2 linked regions of the Macaca fascicularis genome follow. The protein of the gene in region 1 interacts with the protein of each later gene in a pairwise test. Links are inferred from orthologs where the notes say so. Each region holds a gene or a part of one and is shown on either strand. Other genes may lie near its edges.

Region 1 (7,799 bases):
CCAACATGCTATAGTGCTAGAAGGGATGGAAAGGGGATTGCTGAGGAGGGGCATTAAGAATGACACTAAAGTTTCTGGCTCAGAAAATTCACCTGAGTTAATTGCATTGGTAGCAGACAAAATTAAGTTAATCTACATACTTAATTGGCACTTATTCATTCAATGATTATTAGGTACCAACCAGGTGCCAGGCACTGCTCTAAGTGCTAGGAATTCAGCAGTGAATAAAGTCTCTGCCCTCAAGGGACTGACATTCTACAGAGAGAAGTCAGAAAATGCACAATCACACATTAAGTAATGAAAAGAAAAATAAAGGCCGGGCGCGGTGGCTCAAGCCTGTAATCCCAGCACTTTGGGAGGCCGAGACGGGCGGATCACGAGGTCAGGAGATCGAGACCATCCTGGCTAATATGGTGAAACCCCGTCTCTACTAAAAATACAAAAAACTAGCCGGGCGAGGTGGTGGGCGCCTGTAGTCCCAGCTACTCGGGAGGCTGAGGCAGGAGAATGGCGTAAACCCGGGAGGCGGAGCTTGCAGTGAGCTGAGATCCGGCCACTGCACTCCAGCCTGGGCGACAAAGCGAGACTCCGTCTCAAAAAAAAAAAAAAAAAAAAAAGAAAAATAAAATAAGACAGAGAGTAATAGGGGATGGCAGTGCTATTTTAAAAAGAGTGGCATGGGAAGACCTCTCTGGTATTGTAACATCTGAGCAGACTAGAAAAGTGGCACAGTGAGCCATACGGATATTGCACATTAAAAATATTTTCAGAAAACACAAAACTCTGGGATGAAGCAGTCAAACAAAACATTATTGAAGACTCAGCCATCACTAGCCAGCCGATGAAAGTGAAGGTTAAAGAATTTGCCCAGTCTTTTGGAAGAAAGCACAGAATTTCAGATTTTAGAGCAAGGGGAGGTTGGGCATGAATGACTCACACATGACAGACCAATGACTTTCAGAGCTACTAACAGAAGCCAATCCAAATTTTCTAGATGACTTTGAAGTTGTTAAAATTCCACTGATAACATCATTCAATGAAAGGAAAATGTGTAAGTTAAATAGGAAATCGAGACAAAACTCTCAACGTCTCTAAATTATTTTTTCATCACAGCATGGGTTAAGACAATTAGCCTGTCACTACAGTGCTCTGCCTAAGAGTCAAGGCTCAAAAATGATTCAGAACACTCTTTAGGCTCTAAATTTGAAGGAGACTTAGGAAAGAAAGAAAAAAAAAACCCCCTAGGATACTGAAGAGATGAAATGCAATCCTACGTATGAATATAATCTATGGTCAGTTAATCGAGGGGAAAAACATACATATACATAGTATATATGCACACATGTATATGCATATAGCACATATACAGTATGTGTGTGTGTGTGTCTATGAGTGTGTATGTATAGGACTCAGTTTTTTCACCCCCAAAGCATTTAAATCTGTCAGGTAACTTGTAAATAACAGCTTTCGCAATCAAGATCCACAATATCCCAAAGAGCAGCTGCTCCTTCAGCCAGCTCCTGGAAGTAAGAGAATATGGAACAACTCACCTACAATGTATTAATAGATCAATATGAATAACAAAAAAAAATCCTCGGGTGTTGCAAGCCACTAAGGCTTTGGGGTAAACTGTTACAGCAGTTTAGTCTAGTTGACTGATACAGAAAGACACCAAGTCTTGGCTCCAGAAAAGCCTAGCTGGTCCTTCCCACTCATTCTGCCCCAGTTCAGGCCCTCACTTCCCATCTCTACTTCTGCACCTGCCGCTACCTTATAGCCCACACTCACATTAATCCATACCCAGTCTTGAGTAATCTTTCTAAACTACAGATGTGACAGCCATTTCCCTGATTATCAGAAATTATGGCTCCCCAGCTGTACTTCTCGTTTTTACTGAAAACAGACAGGCAGGCACATGAGCAAGGATCTTAGATATCACGACAAAGCCGGAAACAGCTTCTGTGATTTTTCTGTGCTCAGGTACTTGATTTTTAAAATGCCTATTTTACACATTAATCCAAAACGTGTATCTGAGCTTATTACGATCATATTTTTACGAAATTAGATGTAGTAATTCTGGAAACTGTACCATGCCTACGCTATGGCTCTGAGCATCCACTAGCACTCTGTGAGAAAACATGCCAGGGTGAAGAAACCTCACTCAAGTACAGGTTTATGAAGATCAACTAATTCCTTAACGAAGATCTCTTGGCCCCGCCTGCCAGTTTCACTCTGTCTCCCACAACCCCCTCCAGGCTCCTTAACATCCAGCTCACTGGCCGTCTCCCCAGTGCTGGAACTCAAAAGGCTTTTGCTCACTTTGATCCTTATGCCTTATATGTCTTCATTCATTTCTACTTTTCAGGCCCAGGTAAGTCACCTGCTCTGAATTCACACACTTCCCTACTAAGAGTTGACTCCCTCCTCAGGGCTCCCACATGATATCCACACACTCTATATCGCAATTCCTTGTTTCCATTTCTGTCCCACACCTTCGTCCCATCCATGTCTCACCTTTATGTTCCTAGTGCCTTGGATAAGATATGAAGCACGTTACATTCCCACTGGTTGACTAAACACACTTCTGCTGCTGAAAAGCAGGGGCTTGGCCCAGAGGATAGCCGAAAAGTTTTTCTCTTCAGAACTGAGTGTTCCGTCAGCTCATCTCCACAGCACCTTCCAGAAATAATTCTCCCTCAGTTAAAGGCTTACCAAGAGCCTTTAACTACAAGCAGTTCAACCCCATTTGATGACACTCAGTGAAGAACATCCATTTCAAAAAGATTGATTTATGATTCTTTTATTAACACACACAGGAGGGGCTTTGGTCATGTGAACAAAAAATTTATTTTTTAAAAAAGGCTTTTTAGGTCTTTGTTTTTCAAGGCAAATTAATACTTACTATACGTTTGACTTTGACCTCCAATCTGACAGGTCTACTACCCTGATGAACTGGAAGAGACTTTCCAGGCCCTGATAATGTCTTTTCCTTTCTCTGGCCTCTTAAAGCTCTTTGTAGACTGTCTCTTCGATGCCATTCTCTGATGCCCCTGTAATGTGTGAGGGTATTACGACAGTTCCTAATCAAACTGCCTTGTCATAAAAGGTCAGCTATGTGGTCTAAATCAACTCACCTGACAGGTTACACAATATATATCAGACAATGTGCCACAAAACATAGCTCTCCTCTTTCATCTCACAGAGGAACTAAAGTTCCAAAATATATACAAAACCACCTTCCATCTCCAACTGTCTTCTCGTTCTTCCCAGCTTTATGCAAAGCAGTCTCATTAATACATTCTTCACCAGGCTCAACCAGGCAGCGTAGTATCTTCCACTGCACCTCTAAAGTTGGAAGATTCTGATCCCAAGTCTTGACGTGTTCCAAAAAACGATCAGGTCACAAAGGTAACAGCAAAATACAAGGCCATGCCCAACATTTCAAAAACACAGCGAAGTAACAAGAATAAACGTGACCACGAAAACAACTTAATTAAGCCCCATTTCTCTTGTGAAAGTATTTCTTCGACAAAAGTTGTATTTCCAGAACCAAACACATTTGATGATCTAAATCCATATCGAGGTCATCAATCACTGACCATAAGGGAGACTGTTACATGGGGGTAAAAAACATACAAAAACAAAACAGAGAAAATGACAAGCTGTTTCAGTTTCCTCAAGGTGTCAGTTCATCCTTACCAGTTGACTACAGTCCTCAGCTGTGAACCTAAAGCACAATTGGGAGAAATTTACCATGAAGACATTGACTCTCAAAGTTCCATATCTTGATGTTAAAAATAAATGTGAACCACCCAGAAGAATGCCACTTCTTTGAGACACGGTCCTCTGACATACCTGTCTCATAGAACAGTCTGGAAATTTCAGGTAATGGCCTCTGGCTTTACTCTTTTATTTCTTTCCCTGCGTTCTCAGCCTGCGTTCCATTGTGCTCCACAGCCTAGGTCTTCTGTGGCTTTCCCCAAACTCCCTTAGTGCCGAGACAGGTCTACTTCCTGGCGACTGCCCTATTAGAACTGACTTACGTTTCACAAAAACAAACCCGAAGTTACTTTTATTTTTCTCTAATTACCAGTGTGGGAGGGCGAGGCCACAAAAAAACGGTATACTAACACCTAACAAAACCAGCACGCATTCTTTCCTCTTGACCCCAACTTTGTTCCCAATGCTCAATTTTTGATGCGATAAAATGGGGGATGCAGGCCTAGAACATAACTTTTTACAGGGCGCGGTTTAACCATGCTTAGGGGGACTACTGAGTTCCATCCAAGCTCCCGCGAGTTTCCGACCTTACCGCCGATCTCCTCCTTCAAGAAGACTCGCTTCTCTCTATTCGCCAGACGAGCTCGACCAGCATCTCTGCCATCTTCGCAATCTCCTTGGCCTTCTCCTCAGCCTTCTCGCACAACTCCGACACTCTCTCGTCGGCTTCGCCACTCGGGTGCTGCACGTGATTGAGGGCGCTCTCCTCCGAGGCCTCTACCTGCGTTTTGATCTGGATGAGCATATTGTCCATCTCCCACAGCTTGCTCCTGGTTCGCAGGTACGCCCGCCCGTGCTCGCGTATAAGAGACGCGATGTCCTCGCGCATCTCGTTGATGACCGGGAGCAGGAACTGCTCGAAGTCCTCCTCCGGCTCCAGCACCTCCACTTCCTCAGGCGCTTCCACCTCGTCTATGTCCAGGGGCCGCATCTCCTCCTGCCGCTTCTTCAGTACCGGAGGGGCGTTCTTCTTACCGGAACCCCCCAGGGACTGGAGATCAGCAGTGATTGCTGGAGGCTGAGCCCACACGCTTTGTCAATAGTACTCCCGAATTATCTTTACTTTTTTTCTTCCTTTTAATTGTAAGCCTTTAGCTTTAGAACTCCGTGGGAAGAATCGCCGTGGATACACACAGCAAAGCGACCTGCGAAATGGAGTCGCAGCCGTCAACTCGCCCTCGGCCTTTTTGCGGCCCTTTCACGACAGAGCCGGGCTCCTTTACGGTCACGCCTTCGGCGAGACCCAGTAGCGGGCGCGCGCACGTAAAGGGGTCTCGGGCGCGCGCATGGCTATCCCCGTCAGCTTCCCGGCGCCCCGCCTCGCCCTCTTCTCTAATTTAGATTGGTGGCGGCAGGTTTGTTCGCGTCTTCCCCTAAAGCTTCCCTTCAGAGGGGTTTTACTTTTATTATTATTTTTTTAAAGTAAAAATGACCCTCCCTTCCCCATATTTGAATAAGACTGGCTGGCGTTCACAGCGCTTACTATCTAAGCATGCAGAAGCTTGGATTAATTTATATGAATTCACTTAGCCCTCACAACGAACCTATAAGAGAAGTAAAAACCGGGCTAAAAGTCGTGATTTGAGCTCAAAGCAATGTGGGTCCACAGTCCCTGCTCAGTGTTCTAGAATGGAACTCGTCCCTCTGTCCTCCCCACCCCTGGCTCATACTTTTGTTCTGGGGGGAATTTCGCTCGCTGCCTTGGGTGGTTCTGGCCCGTGATTTTTGGTCTCTCTTCAGAGTCTGTAAGGTCCTCAAGGTAAAGGGCAACTTCTGTTTCAGTTCTGTCCTCCGCCCTTTCCGTCAGCCTGGCGTCAAGCAGGGCCTTAGAGAATGCTTTAGAGAGAGGAATTGCCTAGTACCTAAGTGCCTCTACCAGACTGGAGGCTGTTTGGGGACAGGTTCTGGTCTTGGTCACCTTTATGTCCCTCCACACACAAGACCTGAAAATGAGCAGGGACCTAGTAAATGTGGCTTTGATCGTCAATACGTTTTGATCACCAACCTAATGCCATTGTGGAATGGAAGAAGTCTATTGCTAGGCTTAGTCACCCAGTGCCACACTAGTAGTAATATGAGTGTGTGTAGAGGGGGGATCCTTCTTACACAAGTGCCACAGATCAGAACTTCAGTTTTCCAGTCTGATAAAGACCAATGGCCCCAGCCTGAATATCTGTCAGTGGGAAGAGGGATTTGTAAGATGACGTGTGCGAAACAGTTTTGCAAACACCAACATTCCAGCAGATGTTCATCAAAAGAACATTAAGAGGGAAAGAGCAAGGCACCGTGAAAAAAGATATTTGACTCATGCAGAATATATTGAGAACTCCTATAGATCAAGAAGGAAAAGACAAAATTTTAAAACAGGCAAAAGACATAGGCTGGCACTTCACAAAAGAGAATATCCGAATGGCCAATAAGTATATGAAGAGGTTTTCAACTTCATGATTCAACAGGGAAATGCAGATTAGAAAGCACAACGAGGAAGCACTGTACATCCACTAGAATTACTAAAATTGAAAATACTGACAATACCAAGTATTGGGGAAGATGTGGAACAACTGGAACTCTTATACATTCTTGATGGATGTCTTAGTCTAGTCTGAACACCATAACAAAATACTATAGACTGGGTGGCTTAAACACAGACATTTATCTTCTCACAGTTCTAGAGGCCAGAAGTCCATGATTAACGTGCCAGCAAATCTGGTTTCTGGAGGTGAGGGCTCTCTTCCTGAATTGCAGATGGCCGCCTTCCTGCTGCAGTCCTCACATGATCTCTTCTTTGTGCATGCAGTGTTGTGGGGTACAGGAAGGAGTGCTCTCTTGTGTCTCTTCTTATAAGAACATGAAGCTATAGGATCATGCCCCCACTTGTATGACCTTACTTACTGCTTTACTCCAAGTATAGCCACACTGGGGGTTAGGGCTTCAACATAAAAATATTGGGGGACACATATATTCAGCCCATAAAAATGGGAATGTAAGTTGTTACAATAATTTTGGAAAACTATTTGGCAGTATCTACCGAGATTAAACATATACCAATCCTATGTTCTAGCAAATTGACACCTTGTTATACACTTAAGAGAGTTTGAATGCAATTGTTTATAAAAATACATATACAAGAATATTCACAGCAGCTTTATTATAATAGCCCCAAAGTTAAAACAAACCAAATGTTCATCAACAGGAGAATAAATAAATAAAATGAATAAATGGTAGCATATTCCTTCAATAGTTTATTACTGCATAACCAGTTACCCCAACATTTAGCAGCTGTAAAATATTTATTATCTGTCATAGTGCATTTAGGCTGCTCTAACAAAATACCATAAGGTGGCCAGCTTCTCACAGTTCTGGTGAATGGGAAGTCCAAGATCAAAGTGCTAGTAGATTCTGTCTGGTGAGAACTAGTATTTTGGTTCATAAATGGTTCCTTCTTGCTGTGACCTCAGAGGATGGAAGGAGCAAGGGGTCTCTCTTATACGTCTTTTGTTTTGTTTTGTTTTGGAGATGGAGTTTCACTCTTGTCGCCCAGGCTGGAGTGCAATGATGCAGTCTCTGCTCACTGAAACCTCTGCCTCCAGGGTTCAAGCGATTCTCCTGCCTCAGCCTCCTAAGTAGCTGGGATTACAGGTGCCTGCCACCATGCCTGGCTAATTTTTGTATTATTAGTAGAGATGGGGTTTCACCATGTTGGCCAAGCTTGTCTCAAACTCCTGACCTCAGGTGATCCACCTGCCCCAGCCTTCCAAAGTGCTGGGATTACAGGCGTGAGCTGCCGCACCCAGCCCTCTTATACTACTTATAGACAGAGTCTTGCTCTTTTTGCACAGGCTAAAGTGCAGTGGAATGAGCATAGCTCACTGCCTCAAACTCCTGAGCTCAAGTGATCCTCTAGCCTCCACCTCCTGAGTAGCTGGGACTACAGGCACATGGCACCACACCCAGCTTAAACAAAAATTTTTTTTGTAGAGACGGGGGTCTTGTTATGTTGTCCAGGCTAGTCTCAAACT
Region 2 (6,467 bases), on another chromosome or scaffold:
ATATAAATAAAGCCTTGCCTGGGATTCTTTCTCAGCGGAGGTCAGTGCCTGCTATTCTCTTCCTTTTGCCCCAGCCAGTGGGAGCAATCTGGTGGTGGCCCCTAGCCTTAGTTCTGCCTCTCGGCGTAGGACCTGAGTTATAGTGGAGGCAGAGTGCTTCACATCTCACTCCTGTGGCTCACTCTGCCTTTAGTTTTGAGATGACTGAGCCTCCAAAAGCCTTTGAGAAACGCCTCTGCCCTCAGTCTTGACTGTGGTTTGGAGCTGTCTTGGAGGTCACTTGGAGCTGGGTAACAAGAAAAATGACATTTGACAGAATTGTTTTATTTGTCAGATGCTGCAGGAATTTTTTGGGGAGTTTGTTGATTACGATTTCTTAAAAAAAATCTTTGTGACTATACAGTGGGACATTAGTAACAAGATGTTAAAATTGTTAATAATTTTTTTTTTTTTTTTGAGACATGATCTCGCTCTATTGCCCAGGAAGGAGTGCAGTGGCACCATCACAGCTCACCGCAGCCTCAACCTCCCAGGCTCAAGTGATTTCTCCCATGTTAGCCTCCCAAGTAGTAACTGGAACTCCAGGAGCGTGCCATCGTGCCTGGCTAATTTTTTAAAATTTTTTTGTAGAAACAGGGTTTTACCATGTTGCCCTGACCGGTCTAGAACTGCCGGGCTCAAGCGATCCTACTGCCTCCCAAAGCACTGGGATTACAGGCATGAGCCACCGTGCCCTGCCCCACATGATCATTCATTCAATCACGCCTGTAATCCCAGCACTCAGGAGGCCGAGGCGGGCGGATCACAAGGTCAGGAGTTTCAGACCAGCCTGACCAACATGGTGAAACCCCATCTCTACTAAAAATACAAAAATTAGCCAGGTGTGGTGGTGGGCATCTGTAATCCCAGGTACTCAGGAGGCTGAGGCAGGAGAATCGCTTGAATCTGGGAGTCAGAGGTTGCAGTGAGCTGAGATCATGCCACTGCACTCCAGCCTGGGCAACAAGAGTGAAACTCCATCTCAAAAAAAAAAAAAAGCAACAAAAACAATGGTAGCATATGCTTTGCTGACACAATTATTTTATGTCCCTAGGTTGGTTATGTGAAGTTTCCTGACTCTTCCCTGCTATTTAGGAAGGGCTTCAGAGACCTGAATACTTAGTAGCCAGTGCAGCAGGGTTTCAGGGTCTGGCCTGGGAGGGTAGAGGAGGGGGAGGGCAGGTTGCAGCTCAAGTAGCTTTAGAGATGCTGAGCCTCTGCTTCTGTCCTGCCCAGGACGCAATGAGCCCCTGAAGAAAGAGCGGCTCAAGTGGAAGAGCGACTACCCCATGACTGACGGGCAGCTGCGGAGCAAACGGGATGAGTTCTGGGACACAGCGCCTGCCTTTGAGGGCCGCAAGGAGATCTGGGATGCCCTCAAGGCCGCCGCCTATGCTGCTGAAGCCAACGACCACGAGCTGGCCCAGGCCATCCTGGATGGAGCCAGCATCACCCTGCCTCATGGTAAGTGGACAGGGCCAGGGCTTTATCCCCGCTGGAACTCGGGGGTCACCAGCACAGTTTGAGGGTGTTGAGGGGTGTGGAGCGGTGGGGCAGGTGGTTACTCACGTGTTCATTCCTTCAAGCAACCCTTACTGAGCATGGACCAGGAGTGGGTACACAAGGAAAATGAGAAAATGAGACACAGTCTGTGCTTGCCTAATGACACGACAGAAAGACATCAACAAACTTGTAAAGCAGTGTCACAAATGCATTTTGGGACCCTAGAACATCCAAGGCACCGACCTTTATTTTATTTTTTATTATTTTTTTTTGAGATGGAGTCTTACTCTGTCGCTTAGGCTGGAGTGCAGTGGTGGGATCTCAGCCCACTGCAACCTTTACCTCCTGAGTTCAAGCAATTCTCCTGCCTCAGCCTCCTGAGTAGCTGGGATTACAGGCATGTGCCACCACGCCTGGCTAATTTTTGTATTTTTAATAGAGACCGGGTTTCACCATGTTGGCCAGGCTGGTCTCAAACTCCTGAGCTCAAGTGATCCACTGGCCTCGACCTCCCAAAGGCACTGACCTTTTATTGGGTCATTATGTGCTGGACACTGATCTAGAAACTTCCACTGCATTAGCTCACATAAGTTCATAGTAGCCTTATGGGGCCATGTAAAGCAGAGGGTAACAGTGGAGCTCTAGAATCACAGAATTGAGTTTCTTTTTTTTTGAGATGGAGTTTCACTCTTGTTGCTCAGGCTGGAATGCAATGGTGCGATCTTGGCTCACTGCAACCTCCGCCTCCCAGGTTCAAGTGATTCTCCTGTCTCAGCCTCCTGAATAGCTGGGTTTACAGGCATGCGCCACCAGGCCGAGCTAATTTTGTATTTTTAGTAGAGACAGGGATTCTCCTTGTTGGTCAGGCTTGTCTTGAACTTCCACCCTCAGGTGATCTGCCCGCCTTGGCCTCCCAAAGTGCTGGGATTACAAGTGGGAACCACTGTGCCTGGTCACAAACCTGGGTTTCAATCTGAATGTTTCCCTTTCCTAACTATGTTGCCTTTAGCAAGGAGCTTCTCAAATTTAGAGCCTGAGTGTCTTACAACTGTAAAGGGGAGATAATTATTAGGATTCAGCAAGATACATATAACATGATTTAGTCCAGTCCCAGCATTTAGTAGGTGCTCAAGAGACAATAAACATATTTCTGCATGCATTACATTTTACCAGTAAGGACACTAAGGCCCATGGAAAGCAGAGCTGTGCTGTTTCATTCATTCCTGTAACCCCAGCATCTGGCACATGTGAAGAAATGAAAAATAATATGCCAGGATGAAAAAGCCAGCACCTGGTGGAGCTGGGATGCCAGCTCAGGTATTCCTGACTCCAGTCCTGTACACCTAGTCATCAGGCTGTCCTAGGGAGATCTGACTGTGGGGTGGCCATGGCAGGTGTATTAGTCTGCTCAGGCTACTGTAACAAAATACCACATGCTGGGTGACTTAATCAAGAGACATTTATTTCCCACAGTTCTGGAGGCCGGGAAATCTGGCATCATGGTGCTGGCCAGTTCAGGTTTTGGTGAAGACTCTCTTGCTGGCTTGCAGGTGGCTGCCTTCTTGCTGTGTCCTCACATGGGGAGTGAGTGGAGAGTGAGATAGTGCTCTAGTGTCTCTACAAGAACTATAAGCCAGGGCAGTGGAGCACACCTGTAGTCTCAGCTGCTCGGGAGGCTGAGGTGGGAGGATTGCATGAGCCCAGGAGTTCGAGATCAACCTAGGCAACATAGGGAGATCTTGTCTCAAAAGAAAAAAAAAAGAACCATCCTTCCGATCAGCAGACCAGAGGGTCAGGGCCCCACCCTATGACCTCATTTAACTTTAAGTATTTCTCTATAGGCCCTGTGTCGAAATACAGTCACACTGGGGGTTAGAGTTTCACTATATGAATTTGGGGGAACCCAAACATTTAATCCATGATAGTGGATCCCCAAGCTGATTCTGACAGCCCTGCCTCTCCTGTAGGCACCCTCTGTGAATGCTACGATGAGCTGGGCAATCGCTACCAGCTGCCCATCTACTGCCTGTCACCGCCCGTGAACCTGCTCCTGGAGCACACGGAGGAGGAGAGCCTGGAGCCCCCCGAGCCCCCACCCAGCGTGCGCCGTGAGTTCCCGCTGAAGGTGCGCCTGTCCACAGGCAAGGACGTGAGGCTCAGCGCCAGCCTGCCCGACACGGTGGGGCAGCTCAAGAGGCAGCTGCATGCCCAGGAGGGCATCGAGCCATCGTGGCAGCGGTGGTTCTTCTCCGGGAAGCTGCTCACAGACCGCACACGGCTCCAGGAGACCAAGATCCAGAAAGATTTTGTCATCCAGGTCATCATCAACCAGCCCCCACCACCCCAGGACTGATGGGCCCACGGACCCCTGGGAAGAGGCCCCGCCTGGAGCACTAGGCCTCTGCCCTGCTGCTGCCTTCCAGTACTGTCATTTTCTGCAGGGGCCCTCCCCTCAGTTTGGCTGATGGGCGAGCTGTGAAGGGACCCTGCCTTTCAGGGCACTACGTGCCACCAGTTCCCGGTACCCAGGGAGCAGGCGGCCACACACAGGCCTTGCAACCTTGTCAGAGAACAGGCGAATGGGGCCCTCACCCTGCCTCTCTCCCGCAGCAGGTTCGAGCCACAAGGGCCAGCCAGGAGGCCCCTGGAGCCCAGATCTGTCATCTGGTGCTGCCAGCTGTGCTCACTCCGGTTTTCTGCTCAGGGTCTGAAGCAGCTGCTGTCTCCCTCCTCTGCCCCCATCCCCTGGCTCTCCCCTGGGCACAGTGCCACTCTTGGAAGGGAGGGAACCACCCGTGAGCCCCAGGGCTCGGGAAGCCTGAGGCGGGCCTCTGCCTCTCTCTGCCCCCAGCACAATTGGCAGAGATGAGGCGGGTGGTGGACGGCTGGGCTGTCGTGGCAGGGTCTGCACAGGGCCATGTTCTGGCTATAACCCAGGCAGTGGGAGGTCTGCAGCCTTGTCGTGGCCCCCACAGCAGGTCCCTGTGGACAGACATATCTGCATATTTATCAATAAAGCCTTTTGCTCCTTCTCGCTTGCCTGGCATTTGACTGAGTTCTCCTGCAGCCCTGTGGGGCTCCTGGAGCTGTTCTGGTATGGGAACAGGTGGATGCCTGGCCTCCCCAGCTGCTCTGGGCATGCCATCTCCAGCAGAGTGAGCCTGGAACTGCCAGTCTTCTGGGCCCTGATCCCAGCTCCCCTGGCGTCCTCATGAGTCCTCAGGAAAAGCCACTTAACCTCTGAACCCTCTTTGCTTTTCTTTAAAGCAGAGCCATGCTACCTGCCCTGCCTCCTCCATCAGTTGCTGGGAGGATTACGCAGGAAGACAGATGTGAAAGTGCTTGCAAGGCGAAGACAGCACCTCAGGAAGGTGGTCTGCTCCTGCGGCGGGGCTCGTTTCCGGCCCTTGGAGACGCTGTACCCATCGTGATGTTAAAGCAAAATCTCTGACAGATTTAGATCATGTGTCAGAGGTTTGTGTCAGATTCCCAGCAAGGGAACCGGAGAGGAAAAGGAACCAGTTCCTCATGCTTCCTAGGGGAATGTGTGCGTATCTGAAGAGAGGGGAATCTTATATAAGGCTATTTAGCTAAGAGCAGCCACCAGCCAGGTGAGCCTTACAGAAGCACAGGGCCGGGTGTCTGCAGTTCCCTAGCAGGTTAACCTGAGTCACAGTGAGCTCAGTGGAACTGAGCAAGTACAGATCTGATTTTGCTCCAGTTGGGAGTATTTTTCCTTCTCAGTGAGCATGGGCAGCCTCCTGGCCAGGGAAGTCTAGTACTGTCTGGGCCTGGCAAGGAAACCCTGGGAGGGCAGGAGGATCCAGAGTAGCTGCTGCTCCTTGCCAGCTGGGCTTAGTGCTTTCCGGAGACCCCTCTGTTGAAGCAAGACTCTGTAAGCCCTGCAGAGGTTCCCTGAGCACTTACCAAGGGAGGAGACAGATTTGATAAGGTTTGTTCGTGACTAAAAGTCACCCAGCCAAATGCAGTGGTGCTTAACTGGGGAGCATGTGGGACCCCGGAGAGCCTAAGGGCAGCGTGAGCTGTGATCAAAGAGGGAGACAACTGCCCTTCCTGCTACCACGGCCCTGGGCTGGACAAGTAGAGTGTGATCCTCCTCACAGCCAGCAGGGCCTGTCTGCAGGACAGCCTGGGAGTACAGAACTGTCCTGGGTCCCCACGTTTGGTTTTCAGGCCCTCTTCCTGGAGCTGGCTGAGCAGGGTTTCCAGGCATCCAGCAGGGGGCACTGTCATCTGGGCTGGAGCATGCAGCCGGCAGGTCCCTTGTGCAGCCCAGCTGCCTTGGCTAAGGCCCAGCCAGGCCCAAGCGCTCAGGACAGAGGCTGGAGAGGCTCCTTCCTGCAGCCCTGCTCTTGGGACACGGTGCCCTCCAGCTCTAGTAGGCCAGGAGTTGGCGGGGCAACTGGCCTTGTTCCCTGGCCCTGGCTCCCCCTGCTCCCTGGGGCTGCCCGAGGTGAAGGTGACAGGTGGGGGAGGCAGGTGGAGAATTGGGCCAGTGAGCTCATGGCAAAGGCGCCCAGCTGGGCAGGGGTGGGTGCTCTGGCCTATAAAGCCCCCGAGGCGCTGTGGCCTGCAGAGGCGGTTATGGACGGCACCATGGAGGACTCCGAAGCGGTGCAGAAGGCGACGGCGCTCATCGAGCAGCGGCTGGCACAGGAGGAGGAGAATGAGGTGCGGGCAGGGGTGGAGGTGCCCAAGGGAGTCTGAGGAGATCCAGCGCTGCTGTCAAGGGGAGGGAGAGCCTGTCTGCTACACCTGTGGTGGGGAGGGGGGTAGATGTCCCCAGGGGCCCAGTTGGGCCTCATTCCTGTCTCAGGGTATTACTGGCAGAGGGTATTGCTGGCAGCAGAAGACTGAGGCTTCAGCCTCCAAAACCGAGTCAGTGGGGTGGGAACCTGGGCTGG

What was found.
Region 2: the proteins of MRFAP1L1 (region 1) and UBTD1 interact in binary tests that used the Homo sapiens proteins (3 or more experiments, as listed by UniProt). The two-hybrid records come from large-scale screens. The link is inferred for Macaca fascicularis from reciprocal best matches to the Homo sapiens genes MRFAP1L1 and UBTD1.

The regions. Positions count from the first base shown.
Region 1 is NC_088379.1:6,382,379-6,390,177, reverse strand, and holds MRFAP1L1 (MORF4 family-associated protein 1-like 1), read right to left. Parts: upstream 4,955-7,799; 5' UTR 4,712-4,954; coding exon 4,328-4,711; 3' UTR 4,313-4,327; intron 3,728-4,312; 3' UTR 2,785-3,727; downstream 1-2,784.
Region 2 is NC_088383.1:106,510,789-106,517,255, forward strand, and holds the end of UBTD1 (ubiquitin domain-containing protein 1), read left to right. Parts: intron 1-1,275; coding exon 1,276-1,503; intron 1,504-3,509; coding exon 3,510-3,895; 3' UTR 3,896-4,576; downstream 4,577-6,467. Other genes in the region: ANKRD2 (ankyrin repeat domain-containing protein 2), read left to right, coding at 5,551-6,234. UniProt on the Homo sapiens protein: May be involved in the regulation of cellular senescence through a positive feedback loop with TP53. Is a TP53 downstream target gene that increases the stability of TP53 protein by promoting the ubiquitination and degradation of MDM2.